Linked DNA regions of Canis lupus familiaris. The protein of the gene in region 1 interacts with the protein of each later gene in a biochemical or structural test. Links are inferred from orthologs where the notes say so. Each region holds a gene or a part of one and is shown in the gene's direction. Other genes may lie near its edges. The genes, in order: TNRC6B, AGO2 and AGO1.

Region 1 (7,920 bases):
ATGACTCTTATAGTGCCACATGAAGAAGTACAATCTTAGCTATATTCTAGAAATTCATTCTTGTGTCTGTGCATTTAAAAAATTATGAATCCACTTCATAGAAATAGTTTTACAAAGACATGATTTCATCATGATTTTCACTGTAAAATTGGTTGTATCATCATGGGAAATACCACACTGTAGACTTGAAATAGATCCAAAATGGCTGTTGGAAGACATTAGCCAGACCCTTGGCACAAGGAGATACTTCAGCAGTATGGTCTGGATTTTTTTGTGTCTTTCCAACCTTAGAATCACTCTTCCATCACAAAACCTTCACAGTTTAAAAAAGTCTTCTCTCCTTCAGGATCGTATAGTTAAAGCTATAGATATACTTACCCTTTGGGTAATACGAATGTGGAAGGGGCTAGAATATTGGCCTCGCCACAGAGGTGGATTAGATAAGATCACAAATACCCTAAAATGCTGCATTCATAAGGACTGATCATTGTGATTATTGTTAATATGTAGCTATTGCATACGATTTGTCCATTTTTTTCTTAAAGATTCCAAATCTATGCAAGACGGCTGGGGGGAGAGTGACGGTCCAGTGACGGGAACTCGCCATCCCAGCTGGGAGGAGGAGGATGATGGAGGAGTCTGGAACACCGCCGGCTCTCAGGGAAGTGCTTCCTCCCACAACTCAGCAAGCTGGGGACAAGGAGGAAAGAAGCAAATGAAGGTAGCCCGCTTTAGAAATGATCGAGCTTGTTTCTTTGTTCTTAGAAGGCAGAACTGAGAATTTTCTCATGGAAGGAGTCCCTGAAGTCCTAAGTAAGGGTGAAAATATTTTCTTAAGAGCAAATAATTACTTCCTCTTTACTCCTCATCTTCCTTCCCCATGACCTTGAAACCTCAAACTACAGAGCTGTTGCTGTGAGTAAAATGGAATTTTCAAAGACAGGAGATTTTTTTTTTACTTTTAGTTTCCATATGATAATAATTCTTTGGAAGCTTTCAAGGCACACTTTATAAATGTTTTATGCTTTTGGATTCTAAAGCCAAGGAAGTCCTTAGGGTAGTCCCCATGATATATAGAAGAGAAACCAAAGAATGACAGCTTTTCCAGTGGCAATCAGCATGACTGGTTTTTATCCGATTCGGGAGATTCCAAAACCCAGAATCATTCTTCCAACAAAGTGAAGTGCCAGTACATAACCCTACTGTAGCAACCAAATGATTTATCTATATCCTGTACCAGGTTGTGTTGTAAAGTCACTTTCCAGGGCTCCTGAGTGGCTCAGTTGGTTAAGCATCCGACTCTTAATCTCAGAGTTGTGAGTTCAAGCCCCATGTTGGGATCCACGCTGGGTATGGAGCCTACTTAATTAAAAAAAAAAAAAGGAATTAAGTTGTCATTTTCCATGTCTTAGAGCAACGCCGTTTCTCCTTTGATTTGCATAATTTGATGAGGACTTTGGTTTCAGTCTAGAACAAGTCTTTGAACCTGAACCGTTCTCCCAGCAGAGGCATTCTTTCCCTTCTGCAGAGAAATTGATGAAAATTAGAAATAGGCAGTCATATATTTAATTTCAACATGGGAGCCTTGCTGCCCCATGAAACACTTCACAGTGAATATTGTCCTGGTTTCAAATACCAAGTACTGTCCTGGAAGGTCTTCAGTCAGCTAAGGGGGTTATGCCTTTATCCCCTTTGCTGTAGGATATTAATGTTGTTCTGCATACGGTAACTTGATAGCCTAAACACATAGGTTGTTTATCTTGGAGGCATCCTGTTTAAGCAGCTAGTTACAATTTCCCTTCTAAGGATTGCTTTGCCTCCCCCTAGTCACAGATGGAATTAATCCGTAAAATTCTCAGTATCTTTGTACTCGCCTGTTATCTGGCTTGTTGTGGCTTTTTTTGTCATTTACAAATTCCCAACAAGACAGAAAAAAAGACAGTTGAGGAATACTGCTGATTGACAGAAGTGAGTGAAGGAAAGGTGCTGGCCCACTCAGGTGGCCCTGAGACATAACTGATTCAGCTCAGTTGAAATTTGGCATTTCTGCTCCACAACTGACAATTCTGACCTTTTGTGTCCAAGGGCCTTTTTTTTTTAACTGATTGTGATCAAAGACAGATAATGTAAAATTTACCATTGTAACCATTTTTAAGTGCACAGGCAGTTCAGTAGTGGTGATTATATTCACGCTATTGTGCAACCATCGCCACATCTAGCCACAAAACTTTTCATCTGCAAAACTGAAACTGTTTGTATTAAACAAAAACTACCAATTCTACCCTCCCTACAGTGAGGGCTTTTTTGACCTTAAAACCTGTGACTGAACTTAAGTGAACTTATTCACTTTGAAGAATAGTAAAATCAACATAACAAATATCAAAACAGTTTTTATTTGTAGAATGTACAAGTAAGCAAAGCCCCATCACCCCATCCCCACCAACTCCTCATCATTGTTCCACCTACCTTCTCCATAGAAGTAAAAGTGGAGCTGGTGTTGGATGTCCTATTCTGGGGAGAAACTAGTTTGTCCCTTAAGAAACAAAAACTCAGGGGCTCCTGGCTGGCTCAGTTGGTTAAGCATCTGCCTTTGGTTCAGGTCATGATCTTGGGATCGTGGGATTGAGCCTCGTGTAGTGCTCCCTGCTCAGCAAGGAGTCTGCTTCTCCCCCTCTCTCTCCCCTACTTGTGCGTGTGCGCGCTCTCTCGCTCTCTCTCTCAAATTAATAAATAAAATCTTAAAACAAAATAAAACAAAACACCAGCTAACCATGTATTTTTCCAGTTCTAACTCAGTGTGACGAATCAAATAAGAATGAAAATATAGATAGAACTAAAGCTTATTACTCTTTCAGACTAATGGATAAAATATCAAAATAACCACAGTTAAAGAGGGAAATTTGGGCTCAGAAAGGTAAACTGTTGGTTCTGCATTTTCAATCAGTACATAAATCTAACTGATAAGAAGTGAGATAAAATAATTTGGTTCTGAGGTTATGTATTTCATTTCTGTAGTGCTCACTGAAAGGAGGAAACAATGATTCATGGATGAATCCTCTTGCCAAACAGTTTTCAAATATGGGATTGCTGGTAAGTTTCATTTTCTTTTATGTGTAATACAGCCCAGCTTTTACTTTTAGTACAAATGTGAAGACCGCTGCCACTAGAGTACAACATTACAGATTTAGAAACTGGTTAAACAGTGTTTCTGATTTGGATTTAGCAGTATTTGTCCTCTATTCTTTTATTCTTAATGAAATACTCCAATATTTAAAGGCTATGGCTTTTGAATTTGTAGTCCTTGTGTCCTTTTCCTTAAGTGGTTAGGGGCAGAAAGAGCCAGGCCTTAAAACTTACGTAACGTTCCCTGACTAATACTGTACCAGTTTTCATATTACAGTTTTGAAAATAGCAGCAACAATAAAATAAGTAGGGGAACTATTTGTAATTAATTATATAGGGAATTCTTGTAGGATTTCTCTCTCTCTCTCTGTCTCTCTCTCTCTCTCTTTAAATCTCTCGGGAACATTGTGGGACACCCCATCCCTAGTTGCCAAAAGACAGATAGCTTGACTTGGCTGCACATTTCCAGATTTGATGACTGGACAAGTCACGAGAAGAGGTTGTCATCATTTGGCTGACACTCGTGGAATTTGATCCTGAGCCGACTGGAACTTATTTCTCTAAGCAGCTATTTAGCTATTGCTCTGTCCATAGAGTTACTGAAGCTAATTCTATGTGAAAATTGAATGTGGGAATATGGACACCGTAGGCAATAAAATTAGTCACATCATCAGTGATCTTGTCTTCATTCCAGTATAAGGTTTATGTCAAAGGACCATGTAGAGTACCAATAGTACGCCACAACTCTCACGTAAATAATGCCATTTTTTTATCTCTCTCATACAGATGTTGCAAATTCAAACCTTTAATCCTCCCTCCCTGTTGCTTCTTTTTCAGAGTCAAACTGAAGATAATCCAGGCAGCAAAATGGATTTGTCTGTAGGTGTGTATCACTCTACTAATATGAATGGGTATATTGTGATTAATGATGTTATATTGAAAAAAAAAATGATGTTATATTGGATCCCTGCTCAGCTTGAGTTGGGATGGGTGCCATTCAGCAGACATAAAGGACCATCCTGGACACTAGGGATTGAAAACTCAAATAGTTGCGGGATCCAGGAAAGTAACAAAATGAGTGTCATGTACCAGGTATAAGAAATTGGGAGTTGAAGGCCACTGGTTAGCTGTCGGGGGAATATGTACCATCTCCAGGATAAAGGAATCAGCCTTGCTCTGGCCTTAACAGTTGTTGCCATGGAGAGTAAGGGTTCAGCTTTGTCAGAGCTTCCAGTTGGCGAGCGAGGCCAGAAATTCAGACATAAATTGACATCCTGATTCTTAAATATTGGAAACTAATTCAGATTTTAAAAACTAGTGTGTGGCCAAAGTATGTCTGTGGCCCTGCCAGACTCTGTTCTCAGGTTGGTAGTCCTGTCTGCACTGGAATGTTTCATTATTGATGAGTTCTCCCACCCTAAGTGGAGCAGTTGCCATGTTAGCCCCTAGTCTGTGGGATCGTCACCATGATGCTATTGCTCACCTTGAGGAACTTAAAAAGAATCAAACCAAGGAAAAAGGAAAATAGTCCTAGGTCATAAGGGAGATAGTCTGATCTATGATATTTTAAAATCTAAGAGTGACGAAAAAATGAGTTTCCAGGGGCACTGATCATGTCAGTATATAATAGCAAATTTCCAGAGCTGTGAAGAAAAGGAGTAGTAGTCATGGTACTTGGGAAATCTCTTGTTCACTTAATGTGCCCAACTCTAAGTTTTAAATTCTAGGGCAACAGCTATGCCTCTTAGGCCTTTTTATTCTCAATAACTGTGTCACAACCCCACCCATTTATCTAGCAGATGCTAAAACAACAGCAGGAGACAAACTCTCTCACGAAGTGCATTTGATTTTATGAGTGAGTTATAGTCATCAAACATGTCAATAACCAGTGGAACTATTTTTTTAGTCAGATTTTTACCAGGTTGGCCCTAAATCTCTCTTTCAATCTTCCATTGAAAACAAGCTACAACTGACACAAGTTTTTTAAGAAGGAACAAAAGGATCCACACGTGCCCCTGGGGGCCTGAACCAAGAGGATCCCTCATGGTCTTATGCCCAGCACCTCAGGGAGAAGAATGGGACCGGTACCCCCCCCACCCCCATCATGAGGGAGATATTTGTTCTTGAAATTTTCACTTCTGTGTTACTTTTCAGGGAGCCTTCCAGATAAAAAATTTGACGTGGACAAGCGAGCAATGAATCTCGGGGATTTTAATGATATCATGAGGAAGGATCGATCTGGGTTCCGTCCACCTAATTCCAAAGACATGGGAACCACAGATAGTGGGCCTTATTTCGAGAAGGTGAGTCAAATCCTTTAAGATAATTCATGCGAACCACTTTGGTTCCCATTTGTTCTTTTGATAATTGATTCCAGGAGGAAGCACAGAGTCACTGAATTAATTAATGAGCAAAACATAAACATCACCTGCATTTAAGTGTTGACATGAAAACAGTTGATGTCAACAGGTGACTAGGCAGAAGCTAGAACCATCTGTCTGTAGTATGTGAGTATTATGAAGAAGGTCTGAGTTTTTAGAAATTTTATGAAGTTTGGAAGGGGGAAATAAATGGTCTGACTTTTTATAGTGGGAATGCGAAATGTGTGGAAGAAATTTTAGAGACCAATTTATTCTGCTGTACAGTGAGAAATTAAATTTGGGATATCGTGCAGATAATTCGTATCTCCTAAGGCCTTCCCTTCTAGCTTTGTTAAGATGTTCCAGAACGTTCTCTTTTGATATTTCTAAGAGAGTTCCTTTGTTCTTTCTCCATTTCTCTAGTGACCTATTGTGAGTTATAATGGTATACTGTTCAAATTCTCAACCTGATTTAAAGAAGTCATGAATACCTATTTGTTTTTGATTCTTGTCTTTCCAATTGGAGGAAATAATTCCTTGATTCAGAATACTGATTTGTCATGGCCCTGGTCTTCAGAAAGCAATAAAAACCAAAAGTTTGGGCAGCCTGGGTGGCTCAGCGGTTTAGCTCCGCCTTCAGCCCAGGGCGTGATCTTGGAGTCCCAGGATTGAGTCCTACGTCAGGCTCTCTGCATGGAGCCTGCTTCTCCCTCTGCCTGTGTCTCCCATGAATAAATAAATAAAATCTAAAAAAAAAAAAAAAAAAAAAAAAAAAAAGTTTTTGATCTGGCAAATTTTTGACGTTATTGATAATGCTGTTTCAGGCAGCAACAGATTCATAAGATTACTCTGGCTTTTGTTTCAGCAGCCACATAGAGTAATCAATATTAGATGCATAAAAATTCAGAGTCTGGCAATTTTTATCTTAGTGCAATGGACAGAATGTGTTACTTAGAGGATAAGAAAAAATCCATATCAGAGGTGACAGATGGTGTCTGTTGGGCCAAGTGTGATGACTCTGATCAGATCCAAATTCCATCCTCGTTTATTGCTAATACACTCTAACTCTGTTTGTTCCTAGTGTTTCTCTCTTGTCCCTTCTTGCATTCTGTTGCTTCACTAACCAACACTCATTGTGATTGGCTAACTCCTACTACTTTTCAGCTGACTTTGCCTTTCTCCAATCAAGATGGGTGCCTTGGGGATGAGGCTCCCTGCTCTCCCTTCTCCCCTTCTCCCAGCTACAAGCTGTCTCCCTCTGGTTCCACACTACCCAACGTCAGCCTTGGAGCAATCGGCACAGGGCTCAACCCCCAAAACTTCGCTGCTAGACAAGTAAGGAGGCCTCTCAAATTTATAACTGCTTGACTGTGGCCTTGCCTTGGCCCTGGTCTGCAGTTCATTGCATCATTTGTCTGTCTTGGGAAATTTGTTGATTACTGAATGCACAGAATGATACTAAGTATAGGCTTTAGATCTCTCAGCCCGTAGAACCCATCTCTCTTCATATTTTCTCAACATGGATTTTATTTTAAATTTGTTTCTTTCGTCTTCTCATTTTTGGTCCTAATTTCACATTTAAGAAGTTAACTAATAAACTGGCTTAGGAAAATGTTAAGGAGGCTACATAGGTACCTTACGTCATCTAACTTAGCAACGGATTTGCCATTCTTGACATTAGATTGAATGGCAAGTGATACTTTTGAAGTCCTTTTGATTTAGTAAAACTTCTAATTAGAAAATAGCAGCAAAACTAGTAAGAGTAAATACTTGAGCTTTACAGCATCTTAAAATCTAGTGTCTTTAAGTTAAAATATAGTCATTACCCAGGGAGAGGTAATTTGATAGAAGAGCTTTGGGAAGCCTGGATGTTGCTCAGACATGGCGGTTCCATCTAGCCTGGAGCTGCCCATTTCATAGGGGTGGCCTCAGTCTTCCTGGGAGGGGCTCTGCACCAAGAGCCAAACTGGCAGGGCTGGCCCCTGAGGCCCCCTCACCTTCATAGGCCTGATGCAGCACTGCTGGCCTCTGTTGCCCCACAGCAGCTCCAGGGTGGTTGTCGGGGAGAAAACCAGGAATTTGGAGACAATTCCCTTGTGAATGGTGACTGATGATATATTCCTAGCCACAGTACTGTGACCACTGACCTGTCACTGTGACTCTCACCTTAGGATGTCATGGAAGGACTTTTAATTATTATATCTATTTTGTTTCCACATGCTGACTTTCACATTACAAGTGAAAAGATATATAAAACATACCTTTAGTCCTCCACATCATAGTCCTCCAGGTGTACACAGGTCTTTCATATGCTTTCTGATTATTGCTTTAGCACATGTTAAAAATGGATCATATAATGTCCATGTGTTCAGTTGGTTTTTCTAGTTTGGGCGTTACGGGTAATTTCTTGTTTTCTTTTTTTATATTTCATTCTTTT
Region 2 (8,566 bases), on another chromosome or scaffold:
TAAAATCTGTTTTTAAAAAAAGGTTTTGAGAAGGCTTGCAATTGATAAAGCTGTTTAAGGTTCACTCAGTGCTTCCCATCTCTTTGACCCCCTAATTCTGCTTTGTCACATGCAGAACATGTCTTGGGAACTGACTTGTTCCAGCGTCTACACCGTAGGCTTGGGAGAAACCAAGAGCCCCCGGGGTGCCGAGGAGCACAGGCGCTTCTGCTCCGCCCGCGGTGACCGGCCCCTGCCGTCTTGCCACAGCGAAGGGCGCCTCAGCACCCGGCGCTGAATTGCCCAGGCAGGGATCTGGGACACCGGGAGCCCCCTGTGGCCAACACCAGGCGCCGAGTGGGGACCTGGGAGGGCAGAGCGGGGGGTACCTGGGGGCCGGGGGTGGGTGCCCTGAGACGTTTCATAGCCAGAGCTGCGGGGGCTCCAATGCTTTAGGGGCTCAGGACCGCGGGAGCGGAAGGCGGCGGACCCCTGGGCTTGGGGCTGGGAGGAGCGGGAGGGGACGCTCTGGGTTGGGGGCTGCAGGCCCGGGGCCCCGGGGGAGAGCCGAGGGGGTGCTGGCGGCGGGGGCGGCCCCGCGCAGGGGAGCCCCAGCCCGGAGACGGCGCCCCTCGCCGGCAGGGGGCGCGCGCGGTCCCCGCCGAGTCGCGACACAGTGAAGCGACTGGGAGACATTATGTTGCCCGACCTCTTGCACTGGACCCCGTGCAACAAAGTGCAACAAAGTTACCCCCGCGGCGTGTGCGCGGAGGGGCCGCTCTGGGGCCGGGGGTGGGGGGTGCAGGGAGGGGGAGGGGAGGGGGCCGCGGCCGGGGCTGGAGAGGAGGGCAGCCTGCGGCGGGAGGCCCGGGGGTGGGAGGCGCGGGGGGACAGTCGGCTGGGGGCCTGCTGAGTCACAAGCAGGAGACAGAGGACATCATGGTTATTTTTTTTTTTTTAAGATTTATTTACATGAGAGACACAGAGAGACAGAGGGGCAGAGACACAGGCAGAGGGAGAAGCAGGCTCCGTGCAGGGAGCCCGACGTGGGACTCGATCCGGGTCTCCGGGATCACGCCCTGGGCTGAAGGCGGCGCTAAACCGCTGAGCCACCCGGGCTGCCCCCTGGTTTTTATTTTTTAAAAGATTTATTTATTTGAGAGCGAGAGCGAGCACACAGAGGCAGAGGGAGGAGCCCACTCTCAGCCAGGGAGCCCCCAGGGAAGGGCCTCGATACCAGGACAACAGGATCCTGACCTGAAATGAAGTTAGAGGCTTGGCCGAATCAGCCACCCAGGTGCCCCTCACCGTTATTATTTTTTTAATGTTTTATCGTGAAACACAGAGGGTACAGAAAACATATAAACAAACCAATGTGCAGCTTGGGATGTGCAAATGAGCAGCAGTCTACTGGAAGGAGCATTTCCCGCAGGTCAGCAGCCTGCACAGCCCGCCCGTGGCCAGGGCACCCCACCCCACCCCACCCCAGCACCTACCACTTTGACTCATGGTGACCACCTTCTGGCTTTCGCTCAACTTTTTACCAATAATGTACCCCTAAACAACGTAGTTCAATTTTGCTTCTTTTGTAGCTTCTACAAATGTAATCCTGCAGCCTGGGCCTCGGCCTCTTTCACTCAACACCCTGGACACTCATCCGTGTTGGAGGGGGTCTTCATTTTCATCTCTAGGTTTTACTTGAGGAGGATCCACCCGCCTCACAACCCGCTCCAGTGCTGGTGGATGCTGGGTGGCGCACCCAGCCCCCTTCCTCTGCTCCCAAACATGCATTTCAACGGCTCGTCCACGTAGGGCCAGGTGTGAGCTTTTCCAGGCACTACCAGACACTTTCCTCCCAAACCGCTGGACTGATTCACACTCCAGTAACACTCTTGAGAAAATGAAGACGTGGATCTGAAGAGCCTGTGGAAGGTGAAGTGGAAGATCCTGACCAAGCAGGCGGGGCCTGCACCCCGCAGGGCGTCGTGCACCAAGTTAAGGATTTCGGACCCTGGGCAGATGGAACTGGAGAGCCCACGAAGGGCTTTGAACAAAGCAGGCACGCAGTCAGGTTTGGGATCACACAAAGGGGACTGCTGGGTGGAGAGCCGGCAAGGGTAGTTTGAGGGGCTTCTCAGGGGACCCAGGCCAGCTTGAGGGGTGGGGGTGGTCAGCAGAGGACCAGGGAGGGATGCATGAGCGCCTGGGGGCTGATGCCACGGCACCGACCCCATTCATATCAATGATGTGAAGATCCGTGTCCCTTTAAGTTTCTCTCTGGAGGAAACCATGGTTTTCTGGCATTTATTTAGGGATGTTCTTGAGACTTGCAAAGCCTGCTTAGGATGCTAAGCTCCTTGCAGGCAGGGCTCTTGGTCTTTGCATCACCCTGGCAGGAGGAACACTCAGGTCCTCGCACCCAGTACGCAGGTAGCACACGTTTATAGGATGAAGGAAAGCGCAGGCGGGTAGGTTACATCGGCGACCAGCGAGTGTGGACTTCGTGTCACCTTGAGACTTGTAACCCCCATCAACGAGGAGAGGGAGGGGGTAACCGCGGCCGGAGCCGGGGCCCGGGTGGGGGCGAGGGACGGCCTCCGTGAGCACGGCGGGGAGCACGGGGCGGGGTCCCAGAGGCAAAGGGCGCGCGCCCGCCCTCCCGGCGGCTTGGCTTGGACCTCACGCAGCTAACACGCGCCCCAAACTCACTGTTCAAGTTTTTTTTTCCATGACGCTCTGGGCTCCCGGCCGGGAGGTGGCGGTGTGGTCGTGCGCAGGCCCCGCGCCTTCAAGTTCAAGCTCCGGGCTGGGCGCGAGCTTCCCCACGGTCGCCTTTCGGTAGTAACTTGAAAAACCAGGCAGGCGGGGAGGCCGGGGCCGGGGCCGGGGCCGGGGCCGGGGCGGGGACGGCCACAGCAGCCGGGCCGCTGGGGGGCGGGGGGGCGCGGGGGGGGGGGGCGCCGTGCGCCGCCCCCCCAGCCGGAGCGGGCGCCCCATGCGAGGAGGCGGCGCGGACACCAGGGGGGGCTTCTGCTCTTTTCTTCCCGGCCTCCGGCGGCGATGCCCCGCGGGCCCCGCTCCGCCCAGGAGGGGAAGACGGCGCCCCCGGAGCCGCTGGGAGGGGCCCCGCCCCGCCCCCGCGCCCCGCCCCCGCGGTGGGGCCCCGCGCCCTCGCCCCCGCCCCCACCTCCACCTCCCCGCGGGGCCCGCGCCCGCCCCCCCGCCGGGCTCCCGGCCGCCCGCGCGCCGCCCCGCCCCCTCCTCCCCCTCTCCGTTCTCCCCTTCCTCCTCCCCCTCCTTCCCCTCTTCCCTCCCTCCCTCTCCTTCGCCCCGCCCTCCTCCCCCTCCCCTCCCCTTCGCCCCGCCCTCCCCTCCCTCCTCCCTCCTCCCCTCCTCCCCCCCTCCCCTCTCCTTCGCCCCTCCCTCCCCTCCCTCCCCTCCCTCCTCCCCTCCCTCTCTCGCTCGCCCCTCCCTCCCTCCCTCCCTCCCTCCCCCCCCGCCCGCCGCCTCCGCCCGCCGCCCCGGCCGCGTCGGGTAAACCTGTTTGGCGAGGCGGCCGCGCCGGGGCGGATCGTGCGGCCGGCGGCTCCCTCGCGGCTCGCGGCGTCGGGGCCCGTGGCGCGCGCGCGGCCGCCCCTCGGCCCCGGAGCCCCTCGGCGGCGCCACCATGTACTCGGGAGCCGGCCCCGGTGAGTCCTCGCGGGGGGCGCCGGCCCGGCCGCTCGCGCTCGGCCCCGCGGCGGCGGTTGGCGGGCGGGGGCGCGGGGCGGGGGCGCGGGGCGGGGGCGCGGGGCGCGCGGGCCTCGGGGGGCGCGGGGGGCGCGGGCGAGGCCGGGGCGCGGGGCCTGCGGGGCGGGCGGCGGCGGGGCCCCGGGCGGGGGGGCGGTCGTTCCTCGGCCCAGCGCGGGCGCGCAGCCCGGCCTCCCTCCGCGGCCCGGGTCGTCGGGGCGCCCCGCGCGGCCTGGGCCTTGGCGCCCCCCGCGCCCCGCGCCCCGCGCCCCGGGGGCCCCGCGGGTGGAGCCGGAGGCCGGGGCCGGGGCCGGGGCCGCGCGGCCCGCGTGTAGGCCCGAGGCCCGCGCCCGCCTCGCCCGCCGCCCGGCCCGGCCCGGCCTCCCGCGCCCCCGGCCTGCCCGCCGCGCCCCGGGGGTCGGCGGGGACGGCGGGGACGGCGGGGACTGCGGGGCGCCGGGGCGGGGGCGGGGCGGGGGTCGCGCCGGGTCGCGCCGAGCTCGGGGTGCGGGCGGCGGGGGCCGGGGACGCGCGGCTGCGGAGCCAGCCCGAGCCCGGCGAGCCTGGGGCGCACTCAGTTTCGTTTTTCTCGTTGCCAGCACTTCTGCGGCCCCTTCTCTGAAGGAAAGTCTGGAAAGGCTGAATTGTGGCCAATTCCCGCGGGTGGCGAGGACTGTAGCCCGAGAGGGACGGGAAGCGGCACCTTAAAACCCTAAGACTGCGTGCGTCTCATTTTCATTCCAGACACGCCGGCTGCTTATTCAAGTGTTAATTGCCTTTTACAATTTACTAGAAGCGGGCGAGGAGGAGTGTCGGTTCCCTTAGCACCCCTCCTCGCCCGGCCGCTCTCTTTCTTTGCAAAAGTTCTAAAAAACTTAAAGGAGTAACACGTTTCCCCCCCTTGTTTTCGACGCACCGTGGAAGGGCAGCCGGGGTGCTGGGCCAAGAAAACAGTCAAGTGTTGTAAAGCTTTTTTCCTTCTCCCGCCAGGCACGTGGCTCCTAAATTTCCCGGCTGGGCCTGCCACTTGGCCGGGGCATCGCCTGTCCCCTTTGTCTGCCAGGCCCCGGCCGCTGCAGGCTTGCTCGGTCCCCTCGCTAGGTGTGCTGATGGGGCCCTGGCGGCTCCCGCCCAGACGTGCTCCCCAGCGGGGGTCTGGAAGCCCCCCCTCCATCCACTCAGGCCCCTTGTTGCCGTGGGCCCTGGCTGCTGTGTCTGTCCACCAACACTTCTATGCCTTGTGAATTCTGAGTGTCTTTTTTTTCCCCCCTGATGTCACTTAATCTAAAAGCTTGTCCAAGGCCGAGTTCCATCAACTTTTAAGCCTCTCCAGACTCTGGGCAGCTTGATTGAGGAATGGTTTTAATCCTGCATCTGGGAGGTTCCTCAGGCCTGGTGGGGAAGGGCCCTGGGCTATGTGGGCACCGTCCCGAGGGCAGATTTGGCTTCTTGAGACCCTGGGCAGGCAGGTCTTGGGCACCCCCCACCCCCCCTTACCTAGCCAAGCAAGGGGGGATCTCCCAGGAATCCCTGTAAAGGGATCCCAGCGAGTCTTAGCCACTACAGTGTGGATTTATTTATTTATTTATTTATTTATTTATTTATTTATTTATTTATTTTCAGATTTTCAGTTTAAAAGTTGAGGGCCCAGAAAAAGTAGAGAACCTTGAGGAAGGTCAGGCTTTGTGTTGTGTGTCCAGTTAACCCACAGGATGGCTCGGCAAATTGGTGATGTTCGTTTTGAAGGTAGACGGCAGAGGCTCACGTAGGTTAAGAACGTTGCCAAGGTCATGTGGCTGGTGAGCATTAGGATGATATGTCTGATCCCAAGCTGACTGTACACCCTCCTCAAAGAGGTGGTTTTCGCTCCTTTTGACCTTGACCCACACTAAGAAATACCTGTTACATCTCGACTGGACCGGTGTGCGCATGCGCTCGCTCAGGTGTGATCGAAACAAGAGCTTGGCGAAGCTCTGCTTACCCTGAACTGTGCGCCGGGGGGTATTTTTCTCGCATTTCTGTTTTCAAAAACCTGTAGCCCCCCCTGGATCTCCGGGCTCCTTTCTGGTCACCAACAGCTTTTGGAAGGATCTGGCTCTGCTGCGATTCTCTGCATTGTGGCGTGGTGGGGAGAGGGCCCCGTGGTTCGCAGATAAACCTGCCCTGGAATTGGACAGCTTTGGTTGAAAAATAAATGGGTCTGTAGGATAGTTCTTAAGCTAATGGCAGGATGGGAATGAACCCAAATTTCAGGCTCTGTGAGTGTGCTGTAATTATAAGGCTGTGTGCAGTTCAGTTTTATTCTATCCACCGAGGCTTTTAATTTGGCTTAAAAGGAGCTTTTGGAGTAGTTTCTTGAATGAAACTTTTTTTAATGTTATATTTCCTATTTTAGAAGAATGAAAAGATGCTCGGTCTGGATTGTAGAAAAATTACAAATCGTTTTGCTCCTTCCGATTTTAATACACTTATTAAGCGACGTACTGAGTAAATTGACTTAAAAGGTAGAGTTCGCAGTAGCTATGTGTTAGGCCCACGATAAACGCTTTCCACGTGTGAATTAGCGTTTGTGCTCTGAGGTTCGGTACGTCGCTACTTCTTACTATTCTAACTATTCGAGAGAGTTTGGTGGTTCCAGGTAGTGGGTTCTCCAGCGACCCGGAGCCTTCAGAGATGAACAGATTAGTTTGTTGTTGGGGTTGAATGTCAAGATCTGAAACTGTCTGAGGGATCCTGTTGGAAGGGGATTGTTTCTTTGGTTTCATAGTGCTCTAGCTACTGTGTGTTACAGCCCTCATGGCACTGCTACAAAGTAACTTTTGTGACCCAGAAGTCCTGTTTGAGAAGCCTCTAAGGGGATTGTGACTTTGAGCATCACTGGCTTTCAGTGAGGTTCCCGGTGCCAGTCAGCTCCTGCTTCCCACTGCTCCCCCCACCCCAGTTCCCAGCGGAGCAGCCTGGTCGCAGTGGTGATGCACCTTTGCCACACAGCAGGTGTCCCTCTGCCCAGTGGGGGGATGGAGGGAGGTGCTGCTGGCCGGAAGGCTTGGTTGGATCCGTTAGAAACCTCGAAGCACGTAAGTGTGTAGGGAAACACGACGTAAAAGTTGCAACTCCTCTGCCCGGTCTGGTTTTCAGAAGCACAATATTATTTCTCGTTAACTTCCAGTTTCGGTGTCAAAACTTTGCACAACGCCGGTGCGCACTGTGTTCTTTATAATGAGTGTTACGTGTGTTACCATATCCTGCCAGTCTGGTAAAATAAATTTTTGTTTCGTGAATTGTTACTACAGATGTTCAAAATGTAACACTTGATTTTGTTTTTAACAGTTTCTGTTGTGAGATAGTTTACACAAAGTAGAGCACCAAGTAGGACGTTCTCCCATTTTTCCGTCACTGAGCCTCTGACCATCGAGATGACCTGCATTGGTTTCAGATGGGCCCCTTTCCCCTTTTTCCTTTGTGGAGCTACTCGAGAGCCAATTCCAGATCTGTCATTTCACCCCGAGTACTTAAATACTGTGTCTAAAGAAGGGGGACACTTTGAACCCCAGGCCACTTTCACAAGTTTGTAATCACTTTCTCTTGTCTCAGAAGCGTGTTTATAGTGGGCTGTATGGATTGTGGGTTTTAATAAAAGTTCACCCACGAATTTGGTGGTGTGTCTTTGGGGCCCTCTAACCTGGGCTCTAACGCTGGGGCCCCTCCCCCGCTGTCCCCTGCTGCGGGCTGGCAGGGACACTTAGATTGTAAAATCCCTTTCCTTCAGAGTGTGTTTATCCTCCTCCCCTGTTTCCTAAAAAGAACCCTGTTGTTCGGGATCCCTCTGTTTTGTGGAGTGAGGCTGGTTGGAGACCCCCTTGCCTGTGGTTTTAATTCTGACACATTGATCTTAAGCCGTGTGTGTAGACAGACCCCTTTGCATCTGGAATTTCCTGTTACAGAAGAATCCTGGGTTTTTTCGTGGTGCTCTGAGCAGAAGGGAAGCTTTGGGGTGTGTAGAGAACACTGTGGTCCTTGGGAAGCTTGTGCATTTGTCTCTGCCACCCCCACCCCCCGAAGGTGGGGATGTCTCTTCCCCAGGTGTGGGAGCGGCTCTGCACATGGAGGTGGGAGCCGGGCTCCGTCCTCCGGCTCCTTCTGGCCCTGTTTGCTCCTGGCCGTTTCTCCAGGCTTCACGGCTCTCCTCCCACCTGTGTTAGGCGTCCTGGGTGGAGGAGCCCAGGTGAGGTGCCGTGGCCACTCTAGCCGGTGAAAGTATCACTGAACTGTACTGTTCTAATTTTCTTTCCCCTCGCTTTTCTCTTTCGAAGTTTAAAAAACCCGCCACCACTGGCTGGTCTCTGGGTCCTTACTCTCCATGACCGAACAACGGTGCCTTTCTAGTTTATCTTTCAGTAGAGCTGTGCCCTGGGTGACCAGACAGTTTGTCATCTACTCTGGAAACTTTTGCAAGTGAACTAGGGGTGGGTGTGGGTGGAGGGCTCTAATTATTTCCCTGAGACAGGGGAGTACCCCAGGGCCGCCTGGGCAAATCGGGTGGATGTCTCCCTGACTCACAGCATTTCTTTCATCTTAGGCTTGTAGACTAGCTCAAAAATAAAGGGCTTAAACGCTTGATTGATTGATTGATTGATTGTAAAGATTTTGTTTTTAAGTAATCTCTACATGCAATATGGGGCTCGAACGTGTGACCCCAGGATCAAGAGTCCGCACGTTCCGCCGACTGAGCCAGCCGGGCACCCTTGGGCTTACACATTTTAAAGGGTTTCACTCTTCAGTGGCTTTGCTCTTACTGAAATCCTCCTAAAGTCTGAAGGATGCAAGCACAGTCTTTGAGAAATTGCCACCAAATTGT
Region 3 (7,920 bases), on another chromosome or scaffold:
ACAGAGAGAGATAGAGAGGCAAAGACACAGGCAGAGGGAGAAGCAGGCTCCATGCAGGAGGGAGCCCGACATGGGTCTCGATCCCGAGTCTCCAGGATCACGCCTTGGGCTGAAGGTGGCGCTAAACCACTGAGCCACCCGGGCTACCCAGCTTTTCAGTTTCTCAAGCAGAACTCCTATCAGAGTGCATTTTTGCATCCGTTCCCTCTGGTTGGAATGCTCTCCCAACTCCACCCCTCTTCTAATGATTTTCCACCACTGGGTTTCATTTTTATCATTATTTAGTCCTTTCCTGGCTGGGTTATTATCCCCTGATATATGCTCTCATACCTTCATGAAGTTTTTTATTGTAGCATTTATCATTGTTGTACTTCTCATGATTTTTAGATTAGTCACTAGACAGTAACCACTATGATTAGGGACTCTATGTTTCTGGTTATCACTGTATTCTTACCTTCTTATATCCTGCCTGACATCTAATCGGCATTCAGTAAATATTTGTTGAACGCACTAATTACTTCTCTCCCTGCTTATAGCTGAAGTGAAACGTGTTGGAGATACACTTTTGGGAATGGCTACACAGTGTGTGCAAGTGAAGAATGTGGTCAAGACCTCGCCTCAGACTCTATCCAACCTCTGCCTGAAGATCAATGTCAAACTTGGTGGCATTAACAACATCCTAGTCCCACACCAGCGGTATGATCTCTGTTGCCCACTTGCCCCGTCAAGCAAGGTACCATGTTGGGGATTGTCAAAACGATAGGACTCTGGCCAGGCAGAGTGAATCAGACACAAGGGAGAGATGACCAAAATGGGTACTAGATGGTGCCAGGAAGAGAAGATCCAACTCCTCACCATTTGTTTTCTCTTCTTTGTTTAGCTCTGCCGTCTTTCAACAGCCAGTGATATTCCTGGGAGCAGATGTTACACACCCCCCAGCAGGGGATGGGAAAAAACCTTCTATCACAGCAGTGAGTGATACTCTCCAGCTTCTTCTTAAGGTTCTCATTTTAGCTCTGAGCTTCGAAGACTGCACATAATATCCTTGCCTCAGCTCTGATGCTTGACCCTTCATAAAAACTTTTTTTCCAGCTGATCATCCCCATTAACCACTCCCTTGGTATCTTCATTAAACTAACTCTGTATGGTATCTGTTTTTCAGAGAGAGCAGTGAGAGTGTAGGCGGTGGCCAGAGACTTTGACCAGTCTCCATCACTCTTGCTCTGTGTTCAAATTTCTCTCTCTCTCTCCATGCCCACTTTTGGGATATAGGAAAGACCATATCTCTTCTCTGAAATCCTTTTTAACGTGGTTACCTAGTTGCTGGGACTGACTGTTCTTTCCTCTTCCCCATCCCTACCCCTGATCCATCTAATAGATTAGTTGTCTTTCCAATCCCTCTCTAGCTTCTCTGCTCCCCATCCCTAGGGGCTTCTGAATTGCTAGGGATCAGGCCTTTCTTCCCACTTCTCTTTTCTCAACCCTCACATTTCTCTAGGCAAACGGGGCTAATCACAGTAAATGCAGGTAAATACTATGCTATGCTTATCCTTGTTTTCCTTGTGGCCGTCCATCCTAGGCTCTGGCCACGTCCCCTTTGAAAATGATATTACTCCTACCTCCTGCAGGAACACTCTTCATTGTGATTACTGGGTAGATTAGTACTTAAATTGAGAAAAGGACAAACTTGTAGCTCTTTGAGTTGGTAGTGCCAGACCTTCACATTACCCTCCTGCAAGGGGTAAGAAAATCGAACTTACCAAGTACTTACTGTGGGCTAGGTCTTATGCAAGGTGTTTTATTTTTTTTAATTTAATTTTATAGAAGATTTTACTTATTTTTTCATGAGAGACACAGAGAGAGGCAGAGACATAGGTGGAGGGAGAAGCAGGCTCCCCGCAGGGAGCCCAATGCAGGATTCGATCCCAGAACTCTGGGATCATGCCCTGAGCCAAAGGCAGATGCTCACCCATGAGCCACCCAGGCATCCCTGCAAGGAGTAGCACTGTAAGCAGGTGGCATTCTTATCTATTTGAGAGGAAAAAGAAGATCAGATGGATTAAATAACTTCTGCATGCATGATAGAGATTGAAACCAGGACTCATTGTATCCAAAACCCTACTAATTTGATTGCATAGTTTTCTTGCTAAGAAGCCTTCCCCAAATCCACATCCTAACAGTGTTGGGAGGGTGGAAGTTCTGGAGGCTGATCCTGCCTCTTTGATTGTTAGGTGGTAGGCAGTATGGATGCCCACCCCAGCCGTTACTGTGCTACTGTGCGGGTGCAGCGACCCCGGCAGGAGATCATTGAAGACTTATCCTACATGGTGCGTGAGCTGCTCATCCAGTTCTACAAGTCTACCCGCTTCAAGCCTACCCGCATCATCTTCTACCGAGATGGGGTTCCTGAAGGCCAGCTCCCCCAGGTAGGGCCCAAAGTAGGTGAAGAAAACCTTCACATTGGGGCCAAAGGGCCTAATGGGTGCAGAGAGTACTGCTCCCTTTTTTAAAGCTATTGGCATTGGGAGGTGGTACTTTGAGAGCTTTGCTAAATGGCAGTAAGGCCTAGGATGGTCCCTAGAATTTATAGTTCCTTTTTTTTTTTTTTTAAGATCTTATTTATTTGAGATAGAGACAGAGCACGAGTAGGGGGAGTGATAGAGGGAAAAGGAGAAGCAGGCTCCCCACCGAGAAGGGAGCCTGATGTGGGATTTGATCCCAGGGCCCCAGGATCATGACCGGAACCAAAAGCAGATACTTAACTGAATGAGCCACCCAGGTGCTCCTAGGATTTGTAGTTGACAAGTTCCTACATAGGTGATGCTGCTGGTTGGAGGTCACACTTTGAGAATTACTGCTGTTGAGCTTCCTTCAGAATGTTCCTCCTATTCTTTGTCCCTGCCAAGTCTTCATATTCTGTTGTTCAGAGTATATAATGAACTGGTTTCCTTGACTACCACTTAATATTAATACAGCTGTTATTTATTGAGCACCTCTTATGTACTATGAATTGTGGTAAGCACTTCATATGTGTTCTACTTAATGGTTAGAAAAACTCTATGAAATAATAATTATCCCATTTGACAGATGATGAAACTTGAGGCTTGGAAATGTTAAATGATATCTTCAGTGTCAACCAAGCTAAACAATGGTGGAACTGGGATTCAGACAAATTGGTGTGATTTGAGTTTATGCTCTCATCCATTTCTCAGTTTTCTCTAAGTCATCCAGTCTTCCCTAAAACAGCAGACAAATTTATACTATCATTTTTCTGTTCAGGAATGTCTAGTAGCTTCACATAGTCTTGGGATAAAATTCAAACTGCTTAGCAAAGCAATCAGGAGTTATTAAGCCCCTACTAGGTTTTTTATACTTTTACTTAATTAATCTGTTACACTTTTCACAACAGTTTTGTGAGGCTAACTTTAGTAGATGTGGAGAAAATGAGACTTAGGAGGTTAAGCAGCTTGCTAATAGGAATATAACTGAATAAAGCTTGGGTTTAAACCTAGTTCTAATTGATTTCCATTCCGTCCATTTTCTACCATACAGTTTTGACTCCCTATATCTGACTTCTAAGGCCACAAGGCAACTATTGCCTATGGTTATTTACTTGTGGGTTCTTCTTTAGCCCATTTTCTTATAATCCTGCTTCTTTGTAGGACTGAATTCATCTACTCCTTCTGTATCAATTCCTGAACTATGTGTCTGCTCTTCTCTGGTGATCTCAGCACTGTCTGCTCTTAGAGCTCAGGGGGAATTCCTATTATCCTCCTGATTCTGAAATTGACCTTACTTTGGGCATTGTGATATTAGTGATGTCTGTGTACTTTGGTTCTGTGTCTTTTTATATATGAACCAGGTGAGTGCTCTCTGCTGATGCCAGCCTCCCAACCAAGGTTTTTTAGCAACATATCATGGCAACTGAGTATAAGACAAATTTTACAGGAAGGCTCTGTCATCTGTGATGGTTGGGTGTCAGCTTATAAAGAGACTGAGCAAAAAGCCATATACAAATGGCAACCTCGTAGTTCACACAGATGTGACTTAGGAGAAGCTATATGTCTCTTTGTCTCCCTTCTCACTCGTGCCTAGATCCTGCACTATGAGCTGCTGGCCATTCGTGATGCCTGCATCAAACTGGAAAAGGACTACCAGCCTGGGATCACTTACATTGTAGTGCAGAAACGCCATCATACCCGCCTTTTTTGTGCTGACAAGAATGAACGAGTGAGTAAGAGATTGAGGAAGCCACTCATACCCTTATCCTGTGTCCCTTCTCTTAATATGGAAAAAGCCCTTGAGATAAATTTGGGGATTTAATCCTTGGTTTGTCTGTTGTCTCTGGCCCCTTCCCCCAGCTCTTGTCCTTCCCTTTTTTCCTTTTGTCCCCTCCTGCCTTTATAGTCCGGCTCCTTCCTCCTAGCTCCCTCACCTGTAGACCCCTCTATAGACCAGCTCCCAGAGAAGAAAAGAGAAGTACTATTTATTGAAGTTCTGTTATATGTCAGACACTGTACGAGGTGTCTTCCTCACAGCAGCCCTGTGAGGTAGGTATTATTACCTCCAGTTTAACCTCAAAAAAGTTAAATGACTTGCTAAAGTCACACAGCTAATGAATGGTAAAATCAGGTCTGTGTGACAGTAGAAGCCCATTATTTTAATATCTAATATCCTCTAGGAACAGCAACTTCTGCTTTACTTTTGAGATTCTGGTGGGCCAGGCAGACCTTGGGATCTTGGGATCTTGGTTGTCTTTGTCTCTATACAGATTGGGAAGAGTGGTAACATCCCAGCTGGGACAACTGTGGACACCAACATCACCCACCCATTTGAGTTCGACTTCTATCTGTGCAGCCATGCAGGCATCCAGGTAGCCGGGCTATGTCCAGGGGTTTCCAATGGGTCAAAAATGAATTGATTATTCCCATTGTCTCTAAAATATATCAGGTGTCACTGAGGGCATTCAGAACAGGATTATTCTCTTAATAAGCTTTTAGCGTATATGAACAGAAGTACATTTTGAGCATCTTAAGCAGGATTGCCCGTAACAAGGGTATTTTGTGACATAGGTAGCTTTGTGTGTGCGTCTTCCAACCCAATCACACTCCTTTTTTTTTTTTTTAAAGATTTTATTTATTTATTCATGAGATGCACACACACACACATACACACACATACACACACAGAGGCAGAGATACAGGCAGAGAGAGAAGCAGGCTCCATGCAGGGAGTCCTATGTGGAACTCCATCCCAGGACTCCAGGATCACGCCCTGGGCGGAAGGCAGGTGCTGAACTGCTGAGCCACCCAGGGATCCCCCACCACACTCTTAATAGTGATCCTATTCCTTAGCATTGGCCATCCCTTCTGCCCAACCTGGGGCCCCCTCACCTTCCTATCTTCCCAGGGCACCAGCCGACCATCACATTACTATGTCCTTTGGGATGACAACCGTTTCACAGCGGATGAGCTCCAGATCTTGACGTACCAGCTGTGCCACACTTACGTACGATGCACACGCTCCGTCTCTATCCCAGCACCTGCCTACTATGCCCGCCTGGTGGCTTTCCGGGCACGATACCACCTAGTGGACAAGGAACATGACAGGTGAGGCCTAGGATCAAGGTGGCTTTCCTTTAGCATCAGCCTCTGGTACTAGATCCTCTCAACTTTCCTTGGGCAGAAGGAAATGAATATTATATAATATGGTATCTTTGGGCTCATATGCCCAAATCTGGGTTGGGGCTTTCTCTTAACTTGGTATGGGAATTGGTACTCTGAATGGGGGAATGGATTAGCAGCAGCTCAGTGCACCAGGAAGGACTTCTTTCATTTTTGCTTTTCAGTGGAGAGGGGAGCCACATATCGGGGCAGAGCAATGGGCGGGACCCCCAGGCCCTGGCCAAAGCCGTGCAGGTTCACCAGGATACTCTGCGCACCATGTACTTCGCTTGAAGGCAGAACGCTGTTACCTCACTGGATAGAAGAAAGCTTTCCAAGCCCCAAGAGCTGTGCCGCCCAAATCCAGAGGAAGCAAGGAGGAGGAGGGAGGGTAGGGAGGAGTTCAGAAGGCCTTGTTTCCTTCTACAAAGGGGGCAAAAGGGTGGGGAACAGGGCCAGTAAGCCAGACCACCAGCCAGAAATCTTTGATGTCCACCTCATGACCCCCACCCCTCCACCCATCTTGTCACATCTGGCCCTGACCCCACTGGACCAAGAGGGGCAGCACTGGTGCCCACCATACACACAGGTGTCTCATGTGACTCACAGTGCTAAAGACTCATGCCTGACAGCTTGCTAAGGTCGGCTCTGCAGCCCCGCGGACAAAAGCTGGTAGGTTTGGGTTTGATACTTTAGATGGGAGAGTGAGGGGCTTGAGAAAGTGGGTGGGAGGAGGGAAGGATTTTTTAGGAGCCTTAATCAGAAAAGGTCTAGATTTGTTTAAGAGGAAAAACGAAACCAGACCCAGATCAATATTTTAGAATACTAGATGTTTTAATGGGTTGAAAATCCAGTTTGTAGGAAGATTTTTAATGCTAATGATTTTGGTTGCTCCTCCCCCAGCTGACACCCCTTTTTCCCTTATTCCTTTCTCTCTACTTTGTCTACCCCACCTTACACCTCCTCCCTGACAGACATCCAGCCCCTAGTAAGACTTAAGGCACTATGGCACTTAGCTCTGAAGTGACACGACCCTGTCTTCCTTCCGCCTACTGGTGGGTAACCAGTGCCTTCCCTGTAACGGTAATGCTGCAGAACTGCAACCTTTTGTACCTTTCTTTGGGGGGATGGGGTGGGGGTGGGAGAGGAGGTAGGTGGGGAAGAAATACCCCTAACCCAACAAGCCTCTAGCCAGAGCGCCAGCTACTTTGCATTCAAAGGAATTAACTTCCATATTCATTGAGCTTTTAAAAAGATCACAACCTCAAGATGGTTAAAGTCCATTGACATTTGCACTTTCAGACATGACAAGTCTAGGAGCTGCTGAGATGACTGGCCCTTGGCCTTTCCACTTGACGCCTCCTTTTCTCCCTGTCGTCGTCCCCCCCCCCCCCCCCCCAGCCTTCCCACCTGCCTGGGTCTGGAGTTACTTACATCGCATTTCTCATTCTTGGCTTCTTTTTTCCCCTGATGGTCAAGTCGATTATGTTTCAATATTTCTTAACTGGGGTGTCTTATAACAAATGATCTTTAGGTCTAAAATAAGAAAAAAAAAAAGAGCAAAAACTAAATGTTATTTTTATACCATAACTTGAGTCTGTTGCCAAAATCTGGAAATCCCTCCCATGCCCAATAAGTTTACATCCCAGAAACATTGAGCCATCAGAAGGAACTATGTACCTGACTTATTCTTTGGCCTGGCTAGGTAGGGAGAGTGGTTATCTCCCCAAGGTGGGGCTCAGGCTCCACCCTTCCCCTGTGCAGATAATATCGTTTTCTTGCTGTAGGCGCCCTCCTCTGCACTGCCCTGTACTCTTCCTGCAAGTGCATCTTCCCTTTCTCTAGACTGTTCTCTGACACTTTGGCTCATCCCAGATTCCAGTGTGTCCTGTGGACAGGCTGGGGGATTTTGCTGCTCCCTATCGCTTCTGTTTACACAAATGAATTTTTCCCAGTTTCCCACTAGGGCATGTGAGTGGGTGGCATGGGCCTTTGTTTTGTTTTGTTTTGTTTTGTTTTTGTCTCCCTGGATAAAGATGGGGTTTGGCTATCTTGCAGAACTGGAAAAGTAGGGGGTTTCTAGCTTGGTGCCTGCTGGCCTTGAGGCAAGGCCCCCTCTTTCCTTAACTGTTCATTTTTTTCCTATCCCACTGCTTGGGATGAGGAGTTGCAGCTTCAGTGTGGAAGTTCCTCTTTGTGAGGAGCCTGGGCTTGGGTTTGCCCCAATCTGGTGATGAAGCCATGACACTTTAGACCT

The links.
Region 2: the proteins of TNRC6B (region 1) and AGO2 form a complex in vitro, tested with the Homo sapiens proteins (3 studies listed by BioGRID and IntAct, with this or other methods). The link is inferred for Canis lupus familiaris from reciprocal best matches to the Homo sapiens genes TNRC6B and AGO2.
Region 3: the proteins of TNRC6B (region 1) and AGO1 form a complex in vitro, tested with the Homo sapiens proteins (2 studies listed by BioGRID and IntAct). The link is inferred for Canis lupus familiaris from reciprocal best matches to the Homo sapiens genes TNRC6B and AGO1.

What each region holds. Positions count from the first base shown.
Region 1 is NC_049231.1:25,843,757-25,851,676, reverse strand, and holds part of TNRC6B (trinucleotide repeat-containing gene 6B protein), read left to right. Parts: intron 1-545; coding exon 546-721; intron 722-3,015; coding exon 3,016-3,090; intron 3,091-3,960; coding exon 3,961-4,006; intron 4,007-5,277; coding exon 5,278-5,426; intron 5,427-6,647; coding exon 6,648-6,818; intron 6,819-7,920.
Region 2 is NC_049234.1:35,890,961-35,899,526, reverse strand, and holds the start of AGO2 (protein argonaute-2), read left to right. Parts: upstream 1-3,614; 5' UTR 3,615-3,646; coding exon 3,647-3,668; intron 3,669-8,566.
Region 3 is NC_049236.1:6,334,564-6,342,483, reverse strand, and holds part of AGO1 (protein argonaute-1), read left to right. Parts: intron 1-536; coding exon 537-696; intron 697-880; coding exon 881-971; intron 972-2,231; coding exon 2,232-2,426; intron 2,427-4,095; coding exon 4,096-4,230; intron 4,231-4,771; coding exon 4,772-4,873; intron 4,874-5,409; coding exon 5,410-5,609; intron 5,610-5,848; coding exon 5,849-5,957; 3' UTR 5,958-7,920.